Linked DNA regions of Cricetulus griseus. The protein of the gene in region 3 purifies or fractionates together with the protein of the main gene of each other region. This does not show direct contact. Links are inferred from orthologs where the notes say so. Each region holds a gene or a part of one and is shown on either strand. Other genes may lie near its edges.

Evidence for each region.
Region 1: the proteins of Ptpdc1 (region 3) and Ppp2r2a purify together in Homo sapiens (affinity purification with mass spectrometry; 4 studies listed by BioGRID and IntAct, counting the BioPlex papers as one, with this or other methods). This does not show direct contact. The link is inferred for Cricetulus griseus from reciprocal best matches to the Homo sapiens genes PTPDC1 and PPP2R2A.
Region 2: the proteins of Ptpdc1 (region 3) and serine/threonine-protein phosphatase 2A 55 kDa regulatory subunit B delta isoform purify together in Homo sapiens (affinity purification with mass spectrometry; 5 studies listed by BioGRID and IntAct, counting the BioPlex papers as one, with this or other methods). This does not show direct contact. The link is inferred for Cricetulus griseus from reciprocal best matches to the Homo sapiens genes PTPDC1 and PPP2R2D.
Region 4: the proteins of Ptpdc1 (region 3) and Ppp2r1b purify together in Homo sapiens (affinity purification with mass spectrometry; 3 studies listed by BioGRID and IntAct, counting the BioPlex papers as one, with this or other methods). This does not show direct contact. The link is inferred for Cricetulus griseus from reciprocal best matches to the Homo sapiens genes PTPDC1 and PPP2R1B.

What each region holds. Positions count from the first base shown.
Region 1 is NW_023276807.1:221,994,314-221,999,576, forward strand, and holds part of Ppp2r2a (serine/threonine-protein phosphatase 2A 55 kDa regulatory subunit B alpha isoform), read right to left. Parts: intron 4,639-5,263; coding exon 4,547-4,638; intron 1,552-4,546; coding exon 1,272-1,551; 3' UTR 1-1,271. UniProt on the Homo sapiens protein: Substrate-recognition subunit of protein phosphatase 2A (PP2A) that plays a key role in cell cycle by controlling mitosis entry and exit. Involved in chromosome clustering during late mitosis by mediating dephosphorylation of MKI67.
Region 2 is NC_048596.1:62,120,635-62,126,661, forward strand, and holds the start of serine/threonine-protein phosphatase 2A 55 kDa regulatory subunit B delta isoform, read right to left. Parts: upstream 3,786-6,027; 5' UTR 3,771-3,785; coding exon 3,587-3,770; intron 3,184-3,586; coding exon 3,103-3,183; intron 1-3,102. UniProt on the Homo sapiens protein: Substrate-recognition subunit of protein phosphatase 2A (PP2A) that plays a key role in cell cycle by controlling mitosis entry and exit. Involved in chromosome clustering during late mitosis by mediating dephosphorylation of MKI67.
Region 3 is NC_048596.1:268,381,697-268,386,959, forward strand, and holds part of Ptpdc1 (protein tyrosine phosphatase domain-containing protein 1), read right to left. Parts: intron 4,082-5,263; coding exon 4,001-4,081; intron 3,780-4,000; coding exon 3,661-3,779; intron 2,622-3,660; coding exon 2,484-2,621; intron 178-2,483; coding exon 1-177. UniProt on the Homo sapiens protein: May play roles in cilia formation and/or maintenance.
Region 4 is NC_048597.1:162,644,503-162,649,765, reverse strand, and holds part of Ppp2r1b (serine/threonine-protein phosphatase 2A 65 kDa regulatory subunit A beta isoform), read right to left. Parts: intron 2,727-5,263; coding exon 2,572-2,726; intron 2,017-2,571; coding exon 1,874-2,016; intron 1,457-1,873; coding exon 1,365-1,456; intron 847-1,364; coding exon of another isoform or gene 830-846; exon of another isoform or gene 1-829. UniProt on the Homo sapiens protein: The PR65 subunit of protein phosphatase 2A serves as a scaffolding molecule to coordinate the assembly of the catalytic subunit and a variable regulatory B subunit.

The DNA.
Region 1 (5,263 bases), on a different chromosome or scaffold from region 3:
TGCAGCATTGTACCTTTAAAAGCTTGTCCCGAATATACCTTTGGAAAACTGAAAGAAAAGACGTATGTATGGCAAAGTACAATTCATTCTGATTCCATAGCAATCAGTACAAAACAGCTCTTTAGTGCAGCATGGAGTTTCATCTACCAAGTTACTTCCAGATGGAATTCCACTCTGCTGGAACAGCAAGAACAGTCAGCTTGTCTACTTGGTATTTCCTAAGGCAAAAAAGAAATTAAGCACTGGAAGAAGACTTCAGAGTGAAGCTCTACAACTGTGGTTCTCATTTACAGTGACTTCATTAACAGTTAAGCATAGACACACAAAAAAAAAAACAGAACCCTCGAGCATCTCTAGACCGTGAACCCTTAACAATAATATATGTTCAACACATGAGTGCATAGAACCACACCTCTCTCAGAGGCTCCATGGAAAAGAACACTTGTTAAAAATAGTTCATAAAAATACCAAGGAGACAATAGAAACCCATTTCACTTCATTGCACCCATGGATATGACACAAAATATTGGTTTAAAGAGGTAGATGAAAAAGAAAAAGAAAACCAGATTCTCCATTCTTTGTCACTTTTATTCAGTAGTAGTTTTTTTTTTTTCCTTATTTTCAGTGCCAGACATGGCAAGGAGTGATTACAGCCAACTGTTATTAAAACATTTGTTCGCAACATATACCCCCATTACCACTGACCCAAAACTGACTCGTTTTGTGTGCTTTCGTTCTTCCTTTTAATATGCCACCACCGAGACCAGGTGGAAAGGGCAAGGGTAAGAGATGGAGGGGAAGAGTCCAGGAGGCCAGAGAGGAGGAATGCTACAAGCCACAGTAAGAATGAGCTGTATTTAATTTAAAAAAGAGAGGAGGGGTGTACCCCACAAATGATACAGTAATGAGGATACACAAATCCCATAGCATGACTGAAGGCGTTCACTGTGTTTGACGTCATCACAATGGAAGGCATAAAAAGTGGAGTACATCAATGCTGACACAGTCCAGTCCAGTCCACCAGGCAAGATGGTGCAAGAAGTCATTAAATTAAAAGTGCCCTTCCCTTCCCTAAACGGCTAGCAGACATGGAGAACAGCCTGGGATGCACCCACACAGCTTTCTCCATGTGGCTATCAAATGTGTTGTCGAATGGCACACTGTCAAACACTGGAAAGGGGCGCCACAATGGACCGCTCTCTTATAGGTATGAATGCTAGATTCAACTATCTCACTAAGCAGGAAGTGGCTCCTCTGCTAGGAATGCCAGCCTAATTCACTTTGTCTTGAAATATGTACAGATTGTTTGTAGTTGCTACAGCAATGATGTTTTCCTTGGGGTGCCAGGCTGTATGAAGGATTTTCTTGTTGAAGTCTAGGCTGTCAACACTTATTTCATCTTTCTTTCGCTTGCCGCTCGCACAGACTTTGCGTGGCTTCAAAACTGTGCGAGGCTTATTGTTTTCTCGTGATGCTTCTAGAGTTATATCCCGCTTTGTGTTCCTGTCGAACATTCTGAAGAAATTATTGTAGGATCCAGTCATGACAACACTGTAAAGGTAGAACACCCAATCAAACTGTTAACAAGAGACTGTTTACTGTAACAGGTCAGTGACCAACCTTGCCTAGCACTCACTGTGCAGGAAGCAACTTCTTTAAGCTTATCTGAACTAAGACATAAAGGATATTGACAACCAAACCAAAAGCACTAGAATCTTCTTTCTAAAAAAGCAAATTTAAGAAATTGTACAAAGCTGATAGCACCCAAGTACATTTCTCTTCTTGGTATGAATTACCTCATTGAGTAATCTTTGCCAACAGTAGACCATGCAACCAACCATACTAAGGGGATTCTAGAACTAGCAACCTATGGAGTTCATTCTAACCTCCTCCAAAATGGGGAGGGGGAAAAAAAAAGGTTGTTGCTGTTTCATAAAGCAAATTATGAGCTATTTTACTTGCCCAGATAATTTTTTTCTTTTTTTTGAGATGAGGTCTCATTATGCAGCCCAGCTTGGCCTCAGAACCATAACCCTCCTGCCTCCACATTCCTGGTGCAGGGATTATAGGCATATATTTACCATGCCTACTTCAGATAATATGAATGCTTACAATAGACCTGCTCAAGAAAATAACATTATGGGGCTGGAGAGATGGCTCAGAGGTTAAGAGCACTGGCTGCTCTTCCAGGAGCTGAGTTCAATTCCCAGCAACCACAAGGTAACTCACAACCATCTGTAATGAGATCTGGTGCCCTCTTCTGGCATGCAGACAACTATCAATAAACAAATCTTAAAAAAAAAAAAAAAAATAAATAACATATCTTCATTAATGATAAAATTATTGTACCCGTGGCACAAAACAATTGTTCTGTATTCTCATGAAAGCCATCACGGCTTCAAAACTCCCTGTGTAGTACAAAATGACCTTGGACTCCTGGCCCTCTTGTTCTTCTAAATGCTGTAGTTACAGGTTGTGTGCCAGGAGACCTATCTTCCAAAAAAACACCTTAACCAAACACTTACTCAAATCTTTCACTAAATTCAAAACCACCTTTGTTGTCTGATTTCTTTCCTAGTTTACCCACCTTTCTACTCGAGTCAAACGGTCTCTGTAATTACTGTGCATAAGGCAAACTAGGGACTGGTCAGCTAATACATGGTGTGTCACAAAGGATTCTGATTTATTCAGAATGCCAGTCCCTCAAAGAACGGACAATATCAATTGAATTCAGGGTGGTGTATGTCCCTGATAATGAAACTGTTTCTTTAAAAACAATTCACATAAATTAAGCTGGTGGTACCCATCCATGTTTGTAAATTTTTAACTGTTACTTTGTAGCACAAAATGTCCAGGTTATGAAAGACAAGAAAGAACTGGAGAATTCTTAAAATACATAGAACAAGTTATGACACCATGTCACTTTAAGACAAGAGCAGGTTTCTCTCTGCCATGAAGGGACTGAAACCACCTGGTGGGTCACCGAGCTCTGGACAGCACTAACCAAAGCTGGCTTTGAGCTGTAGCTGTGGCAGATGGGGCCCCTGTCCATTAGGAAGTGGTGTGGGGGCCGGCTGGGGGGGGTGGGGTGGGAGGAGTTGTCAGTGGTTAAGAACACTTTCTGCTTTTACAGAGGCCGGGTTTCTGTTCCCAGCAATCCAGGGTGGCTCATGACCATCTGTTACTCCAGTTCCAGGGTTCACTGCCCTCTTTTGGCCTCCACAGGCACCAAGTACAAAAACATACTTCACATACATGTAGGCAAACATTCATACACATAAAATTAAGATAAACATAAGAATAAATTTTTCAATGCATAATTTAAAAGTAATTATATTCCAAAGAGCTTGAGAGAGAGAGAGAGAGAGAGAGAGAGAGAGAGAGAGAGAGAGAGAGAGAGAGGGAGAGAGAGAGGGAGAGAGAGAGGGAGAGAGAGAGAGAGAAGTCAAGACAACCTTTATGGGTCGGTTCTTCCTTCTCTGCAGGTTCCAGTAATCCAACTGAGGTTGTTAGGCTTGGAAGCCTTTTTGCTGTATCCATCACCCTGCCTGCCCTCAGAAAGTATCCTTGATGTTGAGAGTTATCACCTTCCTTGACAACGGAAGGGCACTGAGAACTAACCATACAGATACCAGACATGGGGAAACTGACTGTAAGACGCCACACCTACATACACCAGTACATTCTCTTCACATCTGTCCTTCCTGAACTCACATTTAGCAATGACATCACAGGTACTTACCCTGCAGGAGGCATTCGAGTAGTGTGATCAGCCTATTATTAAGCCTCATATAAAACTCAGGCAATTATAATTTAAAAACCAGAGAAAAGACAAACACCTCAAGTTTGAGGGCTCTAACATCTAACACCAAAAAATGTGAATCATATCAAGCTTTTTAAATTCAACTACCGCCAAATAAAGCACCTGTAATTGCTTTAGATAAGGCCTAAAGTAACTGCAAAATTATGCTGTGTTTGAATCGGAATACAGTAAGCACTAAGAACTTGCAATAACATACAAATTGCTTCTGTGGAGTGAGTGTCGTGGTTACAGACACTGAAGTACAACACTGCATCAAGTACCTGAGCTGCCCAAACAGTTCTCCAATGAAATTCACCACTTTAATTAACTGTTGGCATATCTGAGTTATGATTTTGTTTTTAATGTTTCTTTCATGAAACAGTCTGCATTACTGACTCAGACTCCTCAAGCACTCTTCCTGCCTCAGCTGCCCAGGGGGGCGGAACTACAGATACACACTGTACATGGCTAGCAATGTCATTTATGTGGCTCACAAAAAAAGGGGAAAGATTTTATAATGTAACTTAAATACCTATAACTTCTTATTATAGATCTCTTATGCTTTATGTAGAAAATCAACACTTTTTTTTTAATCATTATAACTCTATTCATGATTACTAGGTTTATTTCACAAGTACCTGGAAGAAAAAAGAATAACTTCTGTCAAAGAAACAAAAAATTAGGTCTTTATTTTTACCTAGTATGACAAACCAGAGGGGATAAAACAGCAAGTTTCTTCCTTACCTGTCAGACCCATTCCAACAACATTCAAATTTGTCAAATATGCAGTCATTTTCATAGAGTGAGCAAAGTTTACTTCTGAGGTATTCATGTACCTAGGGAGAAACACATACTCCATTTCAGTCTCCTCTCAAATCAGGAACATTAAAAATTCATTTAAACAGTGGATAGCAGAATCACACCCCCCCCCCCCTCTAACCTTACTTCTCCTGGTCCTTACATTTTTCAGTAGCACAACTGAGGAAAACACCTTTCTGGGCACTGCAACGTACTCCAATAAGCCTAACTAAGACATCTGTAATATTCAAATAAGAATGTACACCCTCCATAGATTCATTTATCTGAATGTTTGATCCACATTTGGTGGCCTATTTAGGAAGGATTAAGTGGTGTGGCCTTTTGGAGGAGGCCTTTTGTGTCACTGGGGTAGGGCTTTGAAGTCAGCCTCCCTCTGCCTCCAGTCAGTGAATCAGATGTAAGCTACTGTTCTACACCATGCCTGCCTGCCTGCCTGCCACCCATATTCTCCACCATAATGAAACTGTAAGCAAGTCCCCATTAAATGCCATCTCTTCTCCCGCCAGGGACAGGGTTTCTGTGTAGCCCTGGCTGTCCAGGAACTCACAAGAGATCCACCTGCCCCTGCCTCCCAAGTACCAGGATTAAAGGTGTGTGCCGCTGCCGCCGCCACCACCAGCAGTTTAAAATAATTTCTTTCTT
Region 2 (6,027 bases), about 210 Mb from region 3:
CCAAAAGGAGAAACATCTCAGAGTTTCAGGATGGACCTGATTATAAATCTAACTGATTATATTAGCAACACCAGGCTGCTAATCTTTCCCAATAGCTTGTTTCTTAGTCTCCATTTTCATTAGCATTCACTAGGAATATACCCAAGCCTGAGAGACTCTTCCTTATACTAAACATGAAGCATGTTTAAATATACAGGTAGAAACTCAAAGCTCTTTCTCTAAATTGAAGAAACTGTAAACAGCTAACTTTGCCAAGTGATATCAATTGGTATCAAGGCAAAATACATTAGTTTTTTTATCAAATGAAGGTAAAAAATTACCAATTCTCATTTTATCATTTACCTTGGGGGCGGGGGGGGGGGGAATTGAAACAAGTTACTTTTTATTAGTTCACTCAATGCATCAGCATCTCAATCCCAAACAAACTGCTTTTAAGGAATACATTTGTTTGAAAAGAAAAATGTAACAGAATAACAAGTACTAAAAACAGTGTAACAAAAAGGTAGGTTGAAAACACATGCTTCAAAAGTCATCATATTCTGCCACGAAACCAGAAAGTCTGAATGAAGTGCTGATGCCCCCAGCATTATGAGAGCCTGGAACACACAAGAGATAACAGAGACAGGTGGATGAATAGTGTGCTCCTACTTAATACACAGAATCCCTAGAGACTGAGTAGAGTAAGCCCGCAGCAGTGCAGCAAAGGGAGGAAGAGAATACTCACAGGAAAAGTCTCTGGTTGAGAATAATGAAAAACTATGAGGCACAGGCCATGGAAATGAGTACACATGCCTCAAGTCCAGCACTCAAGAGGCTGATTTCAGTTATGAGACCAGCCTGGGTTACACAATGAGAGGGTGTGCCTCAAACAACCAACAAACACCCAAAGTGATAATTTAGCTCAAGATAGTGGCACACATACACATAATTCCAGCTACAAGGGAGCCAAGGCAGTATCAACAAGCCTGAGGCCAATAGGGGAATTCAGCAAGAGCCTTCTACTTAAAAAAACAAACAAACAAACAAACAAACAAACAAACAAAAACCCAAAAACAACAACAACAAAAAACCCTACTGAATTTTAAATTCTTTAATATACAACTAAGTAAACTGAAAATAGGGTAAACATTTTCTCAGTGTCTGTTTCACATGAATGCCATCGTTTCATACCTGAATTTACCAGGGTTCTAAGGGAGGACATTTCAAGAATGATCTCTGACATTTTGAATGCTTTTGACATTTGCCTCACATCCTTTCTGGTACAATACACAGTGGCACAGTCCATGCAAGGAAATACCTGGCACAGCATACACCATGGGGGGTGGTCAGAGTTAAAAAAAAAAAAAAAAGAAAGAAAGAAAGAAAGAGAAAACTGGAGAAAAAGGCACAGAGAAGGCAATCCTCGTCAGTCTGCTCAAGCAGAAACTATCTGTGCACCAACTGATCAACTCAGAGGCAGGGGCAAGCTCTGCATCATGGTTATGGTGGACACTGCTGCTGTGGACAAGGTGGCAGAGGTGTGCAACTGAGAAATTACATGTATAACTTCAACTCTAACTTTGACTTAATTTCTTAAGGACATCCAAACAAGATCAAATGCTGAGGTATAGGTATTCAGACTGTGGGTGCCTGTATTATTCCCATCATTCATTACATTGCTACTAGTGTTTTTACTGTTAAATATATAGACTATTTTTAGCCCAGGTTCCTACATATAATAACAGAACTGAGAGGTTCTATTTATATAATGAGCTTTTTGTTTTTGTTTTTCGAGATAGGGTCTCACTGTGTAGCCTTGGATGTCTTGAAACTTGTTCTGACCTCAAACTCGGAGATCCACCTGCCTCTGCCTCCTAAGTGCTGGGATTAAAGACTGTGTGCCACCACCGCCTGTCCTAAACAGCTTTTATAAACAGCTGTTTTTGTTGTTGTTTTGTTCTAGATACCCTGAGCAAGGCAATTAAAAGAGAAAAATAAAACCTTAAGTAAGTTTAAACATGAAAAAGTAGCAGCCTAGAACAGTTTACAAAAGCCAGTATGCCTTGGAAAGCAGACTGTCAACCCACAAAATTCACAGGAGATCTGCCACCTTTTAGCTGTTACCCACCGGCTGGCTTTTACCTCCTTATCACTATAAAATGAAAAGTACCTTAGTGTTCAACAAAATAAAAGCAAAAGACCTCTTCAATGGCAACCCCATCTTAATCCACAGGTGACACATGTTAACTAACTGCCAGAGCCATCCTAACCTGGGCATTAACCACTTTTTATACAGGCTCAATGACTGGCAAATGCTGTCACTCAGCATTCGCATTGCTTTCACCAAGCACAGACCCCTCTAACTAGTTATACATTATGACCCACCCAGCTCACTGCTTCACTGCCCTTAGGCTCTACAACTGCAAAGTACCTCTTGGTTTTCACCAGCACATTTCTGTAAGACTCTTATACACTGAACCACAGGGTTGAATACCTTTTATTTCATTTATTTACTACTACTTATCTAATTATTACCTGCCACCCCCCTTACCAAGACAGGGTCTCACTGTATAGCACTGGTTGGCCTAGAACTCTCAAAGTTGACCTTGAACTCAGTGAACTCTGACTGCCTCTGCTTCCCCCCAAGTGCTGGGATTAAAGGCATGTGCTACCATGCCTGACTGGGATCTCACCTCTTCAAACAGTTGCCAACTGACCTCTAAAACATAAGCAAAGAGAGACTCTAGAATGCTAAGCAGTGGACGAATGTAGTTGTTGGAGAAGTGTCACTATGGGGGCAGGCTTTGAGGATTCCTATGCTCAAGATACCACCCAGTGTCTTAGTCAACATCCTGTTGCCTGTAAAATGTACGACTCTCAAATATGTCTGCCTGCATGCCACATGCTCCTCACTGTAATGATAGTGGATTGAACCTCTGAAACTGTAAGCGAGTCACCCCAATTAAATGTTTTCTTTATAAGGGTTGCCATGGTCATGATATCACAGCAATAGAAACCCTAAGACACATATACAAAACACAGTGCAGCAACCATGAAGGATGACTGGGATTAGAAATGAAGGTAATCTAGCACATCTGAGCACAGACAGCTGGTATAACACACCTGGACAGAACTCCTGGCTGGAACACCTGCAGCTCTGCAGCAGCAAAGAATGACCTGATGACTCTTCCTGGGAATCAATTTCTTCACATGTGAAATGATATTAAGGCATCAATTATAGCTCAAAGGTTGTGGCTTGGATTTTATGAGCCAAACACAAAATTTTCTGGCGAGAGAACTCAAATCATACACTAATAATCAAGCCACAAACAGAATTTAGGAGTTCATGAGAAGAGCTGCTGCTTATAAATACATTAAATCATAAACAGGTAAGTTTAAAGAATGGTTGAGAACACACACAGTTGATTACAGGTGGAGACCTAGGAAGGATTCCAAGAAAGTGGGAGAACCAAGAGAGGCTTCATTGTTTAGCCTTTCTGCAGCTCCCCCATTTGGTTTTCTATATAATAACACTATATTTTTGTGTTTTGGGACAAAAAACAATAAAATCTAGCAAGACCAAAAAATATGTGGTTGCTCTTCAAACCTGTCAAGGTCCTGGTCATTCTACTGTTAACAACTTCCTCAATGGCAGTGGTCTTCACTGTGGAACCTTCGGTGGACCAAAGGGTCAAAGCTGTATTGACAATGACACAGATCTGTGATCTGCTGGACCAATGTCGTCCTCTGTGTGGATGAGCAGAGGCCACAGGAAGCCAGGCCAGCACCATGCTGCAGTAGCATTCCTCAAGTTCTGCAGGATATCCATGCGGCAAAAGACAAGGCGAAGAGCAAGTTTTCTTACGACTGTCCCCAACAAACACTGGAATCACTGACTTGACTTGCTACCCATCTTGTAGCCAGGCTTTTCAGTGTTTTCACAGAGCCAGTCTGTTGCTTCTATATGCACAGCTGTCTCCAGGAAAGGTACCTCATTGCCATTGTTTTCACAGAATGCTATCTTCATTTGGAATGGCTTACATTGGTCATTCGGACTTTGACATGTGGTAGATTTTTGAAAATGAGAAAAGCGAGCCTCTTAAGTTATGAATAAAATCGGTTGTCAATAATAAAATCCAGGTATTCAAGAACACATTAGACTTTGGGGGAGCCCATTATCCACTGCTGCTGCTGACTACTTACCCTTGTTGAGAAGTTGCTATCTATGGTAGCATTAACAAACACAATTTTCTTGGGTCAAATATAATGAAAAATCTTTAAAAATCAGAATAGCTCCATGCACTATAAATTATGGAGCCTGATATTACAGGGTACAACAGATCTCTGATGGCCAGGTGGAAGACGCAGGAGGATCTCTGCCTCAAAAAAACAGAACACAACAAAACAAAAGAACTGCTGGTCCAGATCCCAAGGTGCAGCTAAAGAACAAAGCCCCAATTAAGGAGCAGAACACCCACCATTCCCCGGAAAGAGTAATTACCTCTCTCCCCCTCCCTCCCTCTCCTCTTTCTCTCTCTCTCTCTCTCTCTCTCTCCTCCTTCTCTCTCTCTTTCTGGTTTTTCGAGACTGGGTTTCCCTGTAGCTTTGGAGCCCATCCTGGCTCTTGCTCTGGAGACCAGGCTGGCCTCTGCCTCCCGAGTGCTGGGATTAAAGGCATGCGCCACCAACGCCTGGCCTGCTTCTCCATTTTCTAACTACAGTTTGAGGCCAAATTTCTTCACAAACTTCAACAAACCTGTGAGAGACCCAACCTGGGAACAGATCTGAGGATCAGCTGTTTCTTAATAAGCCATTTAAAGGAATTGTTAAGTGTAAGACAACAGCATTCTTTTCACTAAACCTGTTTCATAAAAATTGTTTTTCGGGAGCTGGAGAGATGGCTCAACGGTTAAGAGCACTGACTGCTCTTCCAGAGGTCCCGAGTTCAATTCCCAGCAACCACATGATGGCTCACAACCATCCCTAATGAGATCTGGTGCCCTCTTCTGGCCTGCAGGGACACATGCAGACAGAACACTGTATACATAATAAATTAATCCCAGCATTCATGAGGCAGAGGCAGGTGATCTCTGTGAGTTCGAGGCCAGCTTGGTCTCCAGAGTGAGTGCCAGGATGGGCTCCAAAGCTACACAGAGAAACCCTGTCTTGAAAAAACAAAAAAAGTATTTCAATAAAGAGTAGCATATGTATTTATTTTACAGTGAAAAAAACTTAATGCCTATATATATAATAAGGTCAGCAAGGTATATCCTAAAGGTAACTCTGGCAGCAGCAGGGCTGTTCATTTTGATGAGCTGTAGCTACTCTCCCTCTATGAAGATGGTTTGAGGTCAGTAGGTAAAGGTTTGTACCCACATCTCTGCAAAATGCCTTCCCATGTGTCCCAGCTTTCTGTACTTGGACTAGCATCATGCTGCTGAGACAAGCCTTATGCAGAACCGGGCACCGTCAAAGTCCATACAAGTGTAAGGACAGTCCAGAGTGCAGAACCTGAACTATTTACCATTTGGCTCTTTGTAGAAAAGTGTGCAAATTCCTGAGAGTTTGACTTTTTCCATAGAACCTGTGGTCCTTGACCCACAATCATTCTCCAAAGGCCAGGGTGACCTTCATACAGTTACAGTGTTGTCACTCCTGCTTAGGACCTTCAGCTCATAATCACTCATAGCACAGTTCAAAGCCCTTGGCATGGGATTCAAGGGCTGTAGCTTATTATTAGCTGGGCTGGGCTGGCCTGCTCTCAGGGCATTCCTGCTCGCCAAGGACCAAGTCAGGTTCTCTTACTTTTCAGAAAGTCACTCTTCATGTATCTCTCCTCAAAGCACTCAAGTCACATGTTCCCTTCTTCCCTTTTTGTCATGCCCTTCCACCTCTACCCTCCCCTGGGCAGTGGTCATTTCTCTCTGGTTCTCCACAAGGGATGCGATGCCCTATCCACTGACAGAATTTCATTTCTGCACTTCCTAGTCCAAGCCTTTCAGTGCACTGTGCCGACTTCTTTAGCCCTGTATCACTATTCCTTTTCCA
Region 3 (5,263 bases):
TGGGATCGCAGCAAGAGAAAATATTACGGAGTGGAGCCAGAAACTGAGTGAATTCCCGTACACAGAGCAGTTGCCCTCTGGTCTGTATGGAATTGGGGCGTTTTGCCCGCACAAATATAATTGCTTGGTCAGCAGTCATTCTTGTTGCAAAAACTAAATAACATGCTATTAGGACACCTAGACAGTAAAGAAGACTCACATGAGAAAAGACTCGTTTATGTGCCAGTGTTTGGTGACTTTAAAGCCTGAATGCTGTTAATAAATCATAAATACAAGCACATTTAAAGGATAGTAATGACACCTGCCAGCTCTTTGTTGCTTTTAAAAAAAAAAAAATACAGGTTATCATATAACCTAGGCTGGCCTGGAACTCTGTATACAGGCAAGGATGACCTTGAACTCTTGATCCTCCGGCCTCTACCGTCCAAGTATATACAAGTATATACCACCAGGCTGCTTTTATGTAGTTCTGGCTATCAAACTCAGGACTTCCTGTATGCTAGGCAAGCGCTCTACCACCTAAGCGGCATCCCCAGCCCCTCAAGCATTCATTACTGCAAAGACTTTTACACATCTTTGTGGAAGTTCCTTCCTGTGACTGAGTCAGCTTTGCCCCAGAGATGAGCCAGCACAATTGGCAGGTAAAGGGCTGCTGAGGTGAGGAGGACTTAAAAACTAAGCTGAGGGTCTGGTCGAGCCTCCCCATGCCTCACTCTGGCATGAAGGAAGCCAAACCCTGACCCTGCACTGCTCTGGGGTAAACAGCTCTTGATGCTTCCATCCGATCCGCCACCCACTCTGCCCTGGGAACGCCCTGCTCTGGCATCTCTGCCACCCACTGCCAGGACATTCTTGCTGAGCCCTCTCCCAGGTTGGGAAGGTTTTGCTTTGGGGATTATTACATCCATACATTCTACTTCTCTGCCTGACAATTCTTCCAAATGGTGTCTACACTAGTCTGTGTTTTCTCCAGACCACGGTGTGACTCTGTCACATAAGCAAACGCTATAAGGATGTCAGCTGCAACAGTATAATGGCTTGGTTTTCATTAGTTACTCATTGTTAAGACTCCAGAATCAATTAACTATAATACAACAGCCAACAACTCTTAATGTAAAAGACAGACACATAATTCCTAAGTTTGTGAACATCTAGTTATACATGAAAATCAGAACCTCTGAGAACTGCATGTCCTCCAGTTTGCAGTGAACACAATGCAGCTTTCTCATGGGGACATCACACATCTTTAGTATAAGGATAAATATCTGCAGAGGTATAACATGTAATGTCCAGGAATAAAGACATTTTGGCTTTATCCTAAGAGTTGCCCAAACCTACATGAGTTGAATACTAGTCTAGGATGCTCCTAGGCAGGTAGGAAATCCCACGGCAGGGGATATACACTGGGGTGGTTTTGTCTAACAAATCACATGACAGTGAAGCTATCCATCCCAGGCCTTTCATTTTTGCTATCAGACCAGCAATGTAATGAAGTTTGCTGCGTGTTTATATAAAACCACTGACTTTCACACAGAACTTTATATGCAAACAGTCTTCTTCAAGTACAGAATCCTTATAAATCCCAAGATAGACATGGCATGAAAGATGGAGCCAGACACTGATGGATGTAATAGAGACCCTGCCACTCCCTGAATGTAGCAGACTACTACATTTTCTTAGACTGCAGTTTGACTCCTATTGTTGCTAACAACTTCAAAGGACAGTAAATGAAAAATACTCCAGCAGATGAACGTTGCTTGCTATTTCAGTAGTTCTTTCAGTTAAAGATATTTTGGGGGCTGGAGAGATGGCTGGGTGGTTAAGAGCACCTGCACTCTGAAGAGGATCCCAGTTTGATTCCCAGCAGCAACACAGTGCTCACAATAGTCTGTGGCTCCAGTCTCAGGGGAATCTGACCACCTCTTCTGAGGCACACAGACATGCAGGTAAACATTCACAGACATAAAATAAAAGCAAGTCTTTAAGAAAAACAATGTTTTGTCTGGTAGTGGTGGTGGTGCATGTCTTTAGTCCCAGCACTCAAGAAGCAGAGGCAGGTGGATCACTGTGAGTTCAAGGCCAGCCTGGTCTACACAGCGAGTACCACGACAACCAAGGTTATACAAAGAAATGCTATCTTGGTGAAAAGAAAGAAAGAAAGAAAGAAAGAAAGAAAGAAAGAAAGAAAGAATCTTAAAAAATACTATTTATTAACATGAGGTGCTCCATTTAAATAAGCTGATTATTTAAGTAGTTTTAGAAACATGCTTAAACACAGTGAGTTTTCAGCTCTAAATTATTCAGAAATACTCTTATCAATACATGGTTACTATAAAGGCTTAAGATGCTTCAAATATCTTTTATTTAATTTAATTCTAAAACTTTGTTATGACTCTAAGAACTATCTCTCTTTAGAATTAGGAAATCTCACCCCTATATATTTCATTATGCCCACACAGCACAACATGATTCCTAGAATTCACCTGTTCGCCCAAGCCCTGCGTGGCAGTGGACAGCTACTTTTCCTTCTTGTAGGGCAAATGTCATCACCTTTACCATGTCTAAGATGGCAGTGAGGGACGCTACACCATAATCCTTCCACCCAAAGTTGTAGAAATAAACTAGACAGTGAAAGAGAAAAAGAAAAACAAAATTAATATGCATAAAAATACAAGGACAACTGAAGAAAATGAGTCACAAGGCACAGAGATTTAATTAAATAAGCAGACTTACAATAATAGGCTTTTTATTTTTTTACTTTTTATGTCTTGAGACAGGGTTTCACAGTGTAGCCCTGGCTTGCCTGGAGCTTGATAAGCAAACCAGGATGATCTTGAATTCACAGAGATCTGCCTGCCCCTGTTTCCTGTGCTGAGATTAAAGGTATGAGTCACCATACCCATCTAACAGGATTTTTATATTTCCAGAAAGCTTAACTTAAAATTTCTTACAAGCACATTCTTTTTCCTTAATACATTTCTTGCTGTAGTGCAGGTGGAAAGAATTTTAGCAGAGTAGAATTAAAAACAAAGGTGGAGGGAACAACATGTATTCTTGTTTAAGAATAGAAATTCTCTAAAAGGCTAATAAATGGCTAGATATAGAGTTTTATATAGCTATAGATACAGAGTTTTCTACTTAGGGTGACCAAAAAAAGCTAGATACAAGCCTCTTAAGAACACGTTCCCTGCTCAGCCTGGTTTGAATAACCCCACTGAGTGGACTCCACTCCAAAGCGTCTGTGATGAGCTCTGGGCTGGCCACGAGGATATATTCTTGTAGGGCCAAAATTATTCAACTTCCAATCCCCATTGAATTTCTAATCTATGTGATCTCAGACAAGCTGATAACTCTCTAAGCCTAAACTGAGTGGCACAACTGCTGTAAAGAGAAATTGAGGTCGTCATGTCTGACACGGTACAGACTCTAACTGAACAGAAGCCTTATTACTGCAGGGTCTCCTCCCAGCCCCTCCTAGAGGAAAAGGAAACCCTGTACTCACAACAGCATCATCCAAGAAAGGTAGCATCATTTAAGGTGAAATCAGAAGCCCCACTACCGTACAGATTCTATTGATAAGTATTCTCTTTAACCTGAGAGCCTGGAGGACAAAAGTCTCTATGTACTGAACTTGATAATTCAGGGTGGGAAGGAACTTACTGCCAGCCTCCATGAATGCTTCGGGAAGGTACGTGAAACCACTTTCTTGTTCCAGAGAGTTCCCACAGCTGGCGTGCTCACCAGGGCGCTGCAGGTTGATGATTGTTTTTATGCCATGACTTCAAAGGAAAAGAGCCATCAGTTATAAGGACCCCAAGTCCTGAGAAACTGGATTTTAGCATTAGTAAGGCATTATTGATTGCTCTCAAACTTTTCTTTATAATCAGCTCTTCACTGCCTGTTTTTTAAAAGTGAGCTCTTTTTTCCTTTGATGCCATAATCAATTAAAGACAAGCATGCTGACTGTGTTCACTACAGCCATGGGTGCTGTGGTACTCACCTGAGGAACTGCTCAATGATGTGATACTTCTCCAGCAGCTCAGAGGACGGACGAGCCATGGCCAGGATACTGTCAGTGACCCTGAAGACAGGTATGGAACTGCTGAGATGCACAAAACTCAGAGCATTCTACCTAGTAGGATTAGCAACTTTTTTTCCTATCATTTCAGCAGCTTCTATATTCTTACATAAATCTGGCTTTAATTCTGCATCACAATTAGAACCTTGTAGCTCCTTAAATCCCACAGGGAAAAAAGGTCAAGACCTAAGTCATTTATGGATTCTGACAAAATGTCTCCAAGGACTCTAAAGAGATTCTAGTGGATATAAAGGGGAACTTTACCCTGTGACAAAGTGGTCATTCAACTAAACGGAGGACAAATGGGAGGCTGATATTGGACACCTGTTACCTGATGTGTGAAATGAGGTAATAATGCCAGACATACATAGGGTTGGGGTGAGAATTCAGTATGATGTGGATGTACAAATATAGCCCAAATCCTGACCTGTGGCTATAAATAAATACTGAGGCGCTGTAATTTAGCAAAGAAAGAGGGTGGGGGTTCAGAGTCAGGTGGCCTGACTTCAAATGGTGTTTTGCTTTTCTTCTATCTGTGAAGCAAATTAACTCATCCCTCTGGACTACTAATAAAATGGCATTAACAGCTCACAAGGTTTTATGAAAATTAGTGATACTTTGAAAGCACCTAGTAGCAAAGTACCTTGTCCTACAATTAAATGTTTATGAATGAATCTATGAACAAAATAGAATGAGTCAATGAACAGTTGGCCATAAAAAGCCTGTCTGTCACTCTTATTAGACCTCCAGCTTTGCTCTGCTTTGTTCAAATTTGTCATCAGGAAGTTGGTAAAAGATATGTACAAAAGTCTATTGCAAATTTTGACTCATATGAATCTCAGAGGAGTAGCAAAGACGTGAAACTGGTAGGCCAGTATCCACTAGACAGTATTCCCCTCAGGAGCAACATGTAGAACCTAACAAGGACTTCCAAAGACTTGAGATGGACCCTGACATGAGGGAAAGGCTCATGTGGATAGTTAACAATCAAGGAGAGTGGTCATGTGAGCTATGCTACATTGGACATTTGCTTGTGGGACTCTGACTCAGGAGTGTTTGCTCCCTCATATCATAAGTGTCATTAGGCTTCACTGTGACTCATACAGAACACTAACGACAGTGGACCTCAGGCTGGGTCACCACAGAGAGTAGAGACAGCAAATCAAATAAGTAGTCAGCAAACAT
Region 4 (5,263 bases), on a different chromosome or scaffold from region 3:
ACATTGCTGGAAGGAGAACCAGGAACAGTGGTTCCTACACTTACTTGAAACACAAAACTTCACAATGAAACCGTAGAACCACAGCTTAGTAGGAGGCACTAAAGTTTCTTATGAGTTTTTGAAGGCAGTCACAGTGCTGAGCCGTTGAAATTGATACCTTTCAACATCACACATTAGCAGCAAGATACACCCACTTCAGGCTTCTGCATGACATGATTACAGTCAAAACTGAGCAAATGAAAACCAGAACAACCAATACATTAACCTTCCATATCTCCTTTCGTGTGAGATACTGATGCGAACCATCGTAACCAGAAAGATGTGGCTTTCACTACAGTCAAATCTCAGTATTATCTCCCAAGTAGATAATTATAAGTTTTTCTAAACCATTTACTTTTAACATTGGAAAGCTACAGGCATAGAGACACATGTAAACAGTAAGAGAATCACTCCACTCCATGTCGGGGTCCAAATCCATCCAGGCTCTGTCTGGAATCTTATGTGGCTGGGGCCTGATTCAAAAGGGAGGAAGCAGGAGCCTCAGGGGTGCTGGAAGAAACCCCTGGGAGACACTCAAAGGGGGACTGCGAGGGAATATCAGCAACTGGTCAGTAAGAAGGGCTTTCAAGTTATCCCGACAGAGACATCAAATCAGTCTCAGTTCATGTTTACAAAGGATCAAGTCACTGAAATCTGATTTCTTCTAAGTTGTTGCCATTTGCTTGGATGAGATCTTGAAGGTTTCCATTTTTCTCCACCCAGTGTAAGAACACATTGACTAGAGATCTGTGATAAGAATTTAGTAAAGGCTTTTCCCTCCTGTTCCTCTTTATGCCAAGGCAAGAACTGGAAAATTCCAAACAAAATCATGTTAGTGGTACAGAAAGTTCATTAGCGATCGCTATGAGAACATGTAGTATGTAACAATGACAACAGCATGAGCCTGAGCTCTCACTGCGGGCCTGCACTCTGTCAGGCTGACTGGAAGTTAAAGACTTAATCTCGAGTCCAAACCAAAACTGCTCTTGCCAGTAAGAATCAGCATCCTACACATGGAACTGAGAAAATGGCCTGCTCACTTAGAGAACCGTAGGCCAAGACTTTATTTTAGACAGGGTCTCACAATATAGCCCCAGCTCCTCTACCCTGAGGTCCTCCTGCCTCAGTCTCCCAAGTGCTGGGATTACAAGTGTATGCTTCCAAGCCCAGCAAGGCCTGAGAAACCCCTAACCACACAGGCCCAGCATAGCAGGTGCTTGCCACCCTCTGCCTCCCATCATGCCCATCGTACTGCAATTCCCACTGCTCACACAGTAGAGGAAAACTCCCACCAACCAAAGTCGAGCAACAAACGAAATGCATACCACTTATAGCTTCCTGTGCGAAATACTTGACATCCATGTCTTCATCCTGACCTAGCTTCTGCAGCACTGGTTTCACTTCCCCCTGCAGGGCACTGAAATTCAGAAGTAACTCAAAAGATGGCTGGTGGGACAGAGAGGTCCATTAGAACACAATCTGCTTTGGAATTTGAGGTTTGGATCGATGGTAACTTTTTAATTTAAAATGAAAATACTTTTAAATACAAACATGACAAGTACATCAAATAATTTCTAAAGAAGTTCTTGGTGAAATTCGCTTTGGGGCAGTGTTCTATATATACCCAGAACATAAATGTAAAAGTCAAAATGAACAGTCTCAAAACCTAGGGCTGAATTCTTTTCTTTGAATAAGCCCAGATTCTATGAAAAGTAAAAAAAGAAACCCCTGGGATTATTTTAGCTATTGCTTCCCTTCACCCCACACACACACTCACACACACACCCGTGAGGAGATGCTTTCACACCAATAGCAACACTAAAATAAATCTTACTTGGTATCTAGAATTGGTCCAATTTTCTGTAATGACTTGGCCACATTGAAACGGACATTTGCTACTTGGTCTCCTGCCATTTTCAACACGATGGGCAACATTTGCTTAGTGGTTATTTCCTTACCACAGGCTTCAGACAGTGCCTAGAAAAATAAGTAAGATGGCACATTTAAAACTTTCTTAATACTCCCCAAATCTAGAGAAACAAACTAATATTTAAAGGGAAATTAATTGACCAACAGAAAAATGCTTCCTACTTGAGCATCTAAGGAACATGAGGTGGCTCAAAAGATGAAAGACCTATGCCAAATCACACAACAAAATGCAAGTTTTAAAATACATCAAGTTTTAAATATTGAGTTTTATTATGTGTGGATTCATGACGAGGGGGATGATGGTGGGAGACAAGAAGAGTCAGACCCGCCACCAGCAGCAGCTGGAATTACAAAAGTTGTGAGCTACCTGACATGGGTGCTTGAGACTCAAACTCGGGTCCTCTGAGCAAACAGGGGGCCCTCCTGTCCACTGAGCCATCTCTCCAGCTCCAATTTTCAAATCAACATTTTCTCTATTCTAATTACCCAAATTTACCAGTATACAAAATGCACCTCAAACAAAAGGTAGCTCACTCAGAACTTAGAAATATCCTGAGAATGATTTCATGCCTGAGCTTAGCAATGACACTGTGTCATACTTACATTGATGCAGAATAGAGTGGTCATTCTGTGCAAGTAATTAGGGTCATTTGCCATCACTAGCACTCTAGGTACGATGGTATTCTGGGCCCACTCGGTACCAAACTTTTGGACCAACTTCATGAGATTGTTGGTGGCAGCTTCCCGAATGGCATAGACTGCAGGAGAGCCCAAGAGAACATCTTCAGCTGCTTGCTTTACACACAACCACACCACACAGACTCAAAATACACTCTGCAAACCTGACATCACACACTTAATGATAATGATGGTGAAGCACAGCCATTGCAGTTTAAAACGTCTGTCACCAAGGATAAGCACCCATGCTTTTCTCCCAGCTACTGATCTTTAACAAATACTTAAAATGATTGTTCTTACTACAATGCCACTAACACAGGGTTCTACTGCCAAAGTAACCAGAGACTGAGCCTTGACCAAGACCTCAACTACACTGAACTCTACTTGGCCAGATGCCTACTATGTTCCTGGCACCTCTCACTTCTCTTTTCAGAGGAATGCAAGCCTTTCTCGAGTTCTGCCAGTTTTCACTCCTTGTTTTGTCTGTGTGTCTGTTTTTCCCCTCAAGGTCAGGCTGATCTGAAAGTTTTCTTTAAATATCTAATTCTGTCTATTCTCACTAACTCTGACTTGATATACATATATTTTCACTAATTTTGTCCTGTAAAAGATACCCCCACTGTTCAAAAAAACAAAACCTAGAACTTTGTTTAAATCCCTCTCGTTGAGCCCTCCCTTTGGGTGGACACTGCCCAATGACAGATACACAGCCTCTGTGCTTTTCCTCCTTTAGCTTCTGCAGGCTGCACAGTGGTCTTACAGCAGCTTCATGCCCAAAGAGGGATGGGGGATATTCCCAAAGAAACCTCCTCACTGTGTGCCACTTAAAAGTGCAAAAACATAGTTTTTCTTCAAATTATAAAATTCTAAGCTAAATATAAAAGCTGTAGGATGCCAGGTGGTAGTGGTATACACCTTTAACCCCAGCACTCAAGAGGCAGAGGCAGGCAGATCTCTTGAGTTTCAGGCCAGCCTGGTCTACACAGCAAGTTCTAGGGCAGCCAGGATTAAACAATGAAACCCTGTCTCAAAGGGGAAACAAAAAAAAACTGCATTGGAAAGGCCCTGGTGAACATTCTCAGCCACCAACCAGCCACTACACACCAGCCCAAGTCCCATACATAAACTCCACCCCCACCGGCTCCCAAGTTGGAAGAAAAAAAAGAGGGGGATGCTCAGGTTTCATACAGCAAGCATCCCTATACAGGTGTCATGAATCTCCTCGTAGAATATTAAACCTTAAAAAAAAAAAAAAAAAAAAAAAAAAGAAGAAGAATATTAAGCCTTAAAAGTCCTTCAAAACTTGGAAGAAGGAAAAAAAAAAAAAAAAGGCCTGTCTTAATCCAAAAGGCTGGTTTTCAAAGAAAGCAATAAAAACATCTTCTGGGAATACCACTCACATTAATATTTACCAAAAATAAACTTTTTTAAATAAATAATTTCTTGGACTGGGAGATGGCTCAGTGGTTAAATGTACATTGCTCTTCCAGAGGACTGGAGTTCAATTCCCAGCACCTAAACCAGCGGGATCACAACTGCGGACAACCCCAGCTCCAGATCAGATGTCCTCTCTGGCCTCTCAGAAAACCTGCAAGTACATGAGCAAGCTCACATACACACACACACATGCACATAATTTAAAATAAAATTTTTAAACACCTTTCCTATGATTTATAAATGATCATTTTTTTTACAAATGGTCAGAAAAACTTAACTTCTGACAAAAAAGAAATAAAGAAGTCTTTATAATGTACTTAAGAGCACCAGACGTATCCATACATATGCCCTAACAGATTGTCATACACAGTTTCACAACCTTCCTTTTCTACTCAGACATATGATACCAATTCGATTTTAACAAAACCACCTACAAATGTAAGCAGACCCAAATGTTCTTATTCTTTCCCTGGTAGCGAGTCACAAATACCCGCAGATACATGCACTCGATACACACAGTACACTAGAGAACCACAGCAGGATGCTTAACACACCCACAAGACATGGACCCCAAAGCTCATGGGACATACCATGTGAGAACTTGAAGGCACTCAGTGGAATGGGGCTCAGGTCACACTGAAGCTGCCAAGTCTAGGACCTGACACTGAGAACCCCTCACCCATCTGCTGCCAGGGAAACAAAGGGATTTGTGCACACACACTGCCCTGAGGGTCACCAGAAAGGTACCTGCTGAGTTCTGTCCAGTAAGACCTTCCCTGAGCGCATGTCTTCCAGCCCAGTAGCAGCAGGCAGAGGAAAGCCTTCTCTCACCAAACCCTGGCTCTCTCCTAGAGTACAGACACGTCCCTGACTCCTACTGTATCTTTGCACATCACCTCAGAAAGCCTGAATAGCCATTTTTTCCCAATCTATGCAGCCTGGACTGCAGTTGCTAAGGACACCAATGGTAACTGGTCAGCTGCAAGCCCAAATGCTGGAGGACGGATACATGTTAAGAGTCTGAAGCCCACAGGCGGCAGGAGGTACAGGAGGGCAAAGAAGTTACCCAGCACAGCAAATACATTTAAAACAGAAAATAACAGGAAGTACAAATGTCAAATTTGGTGGTACCTGCCTTGACTCCCAGCACTCAGTAGACAGAGGCAGGACAGCCAGGGCT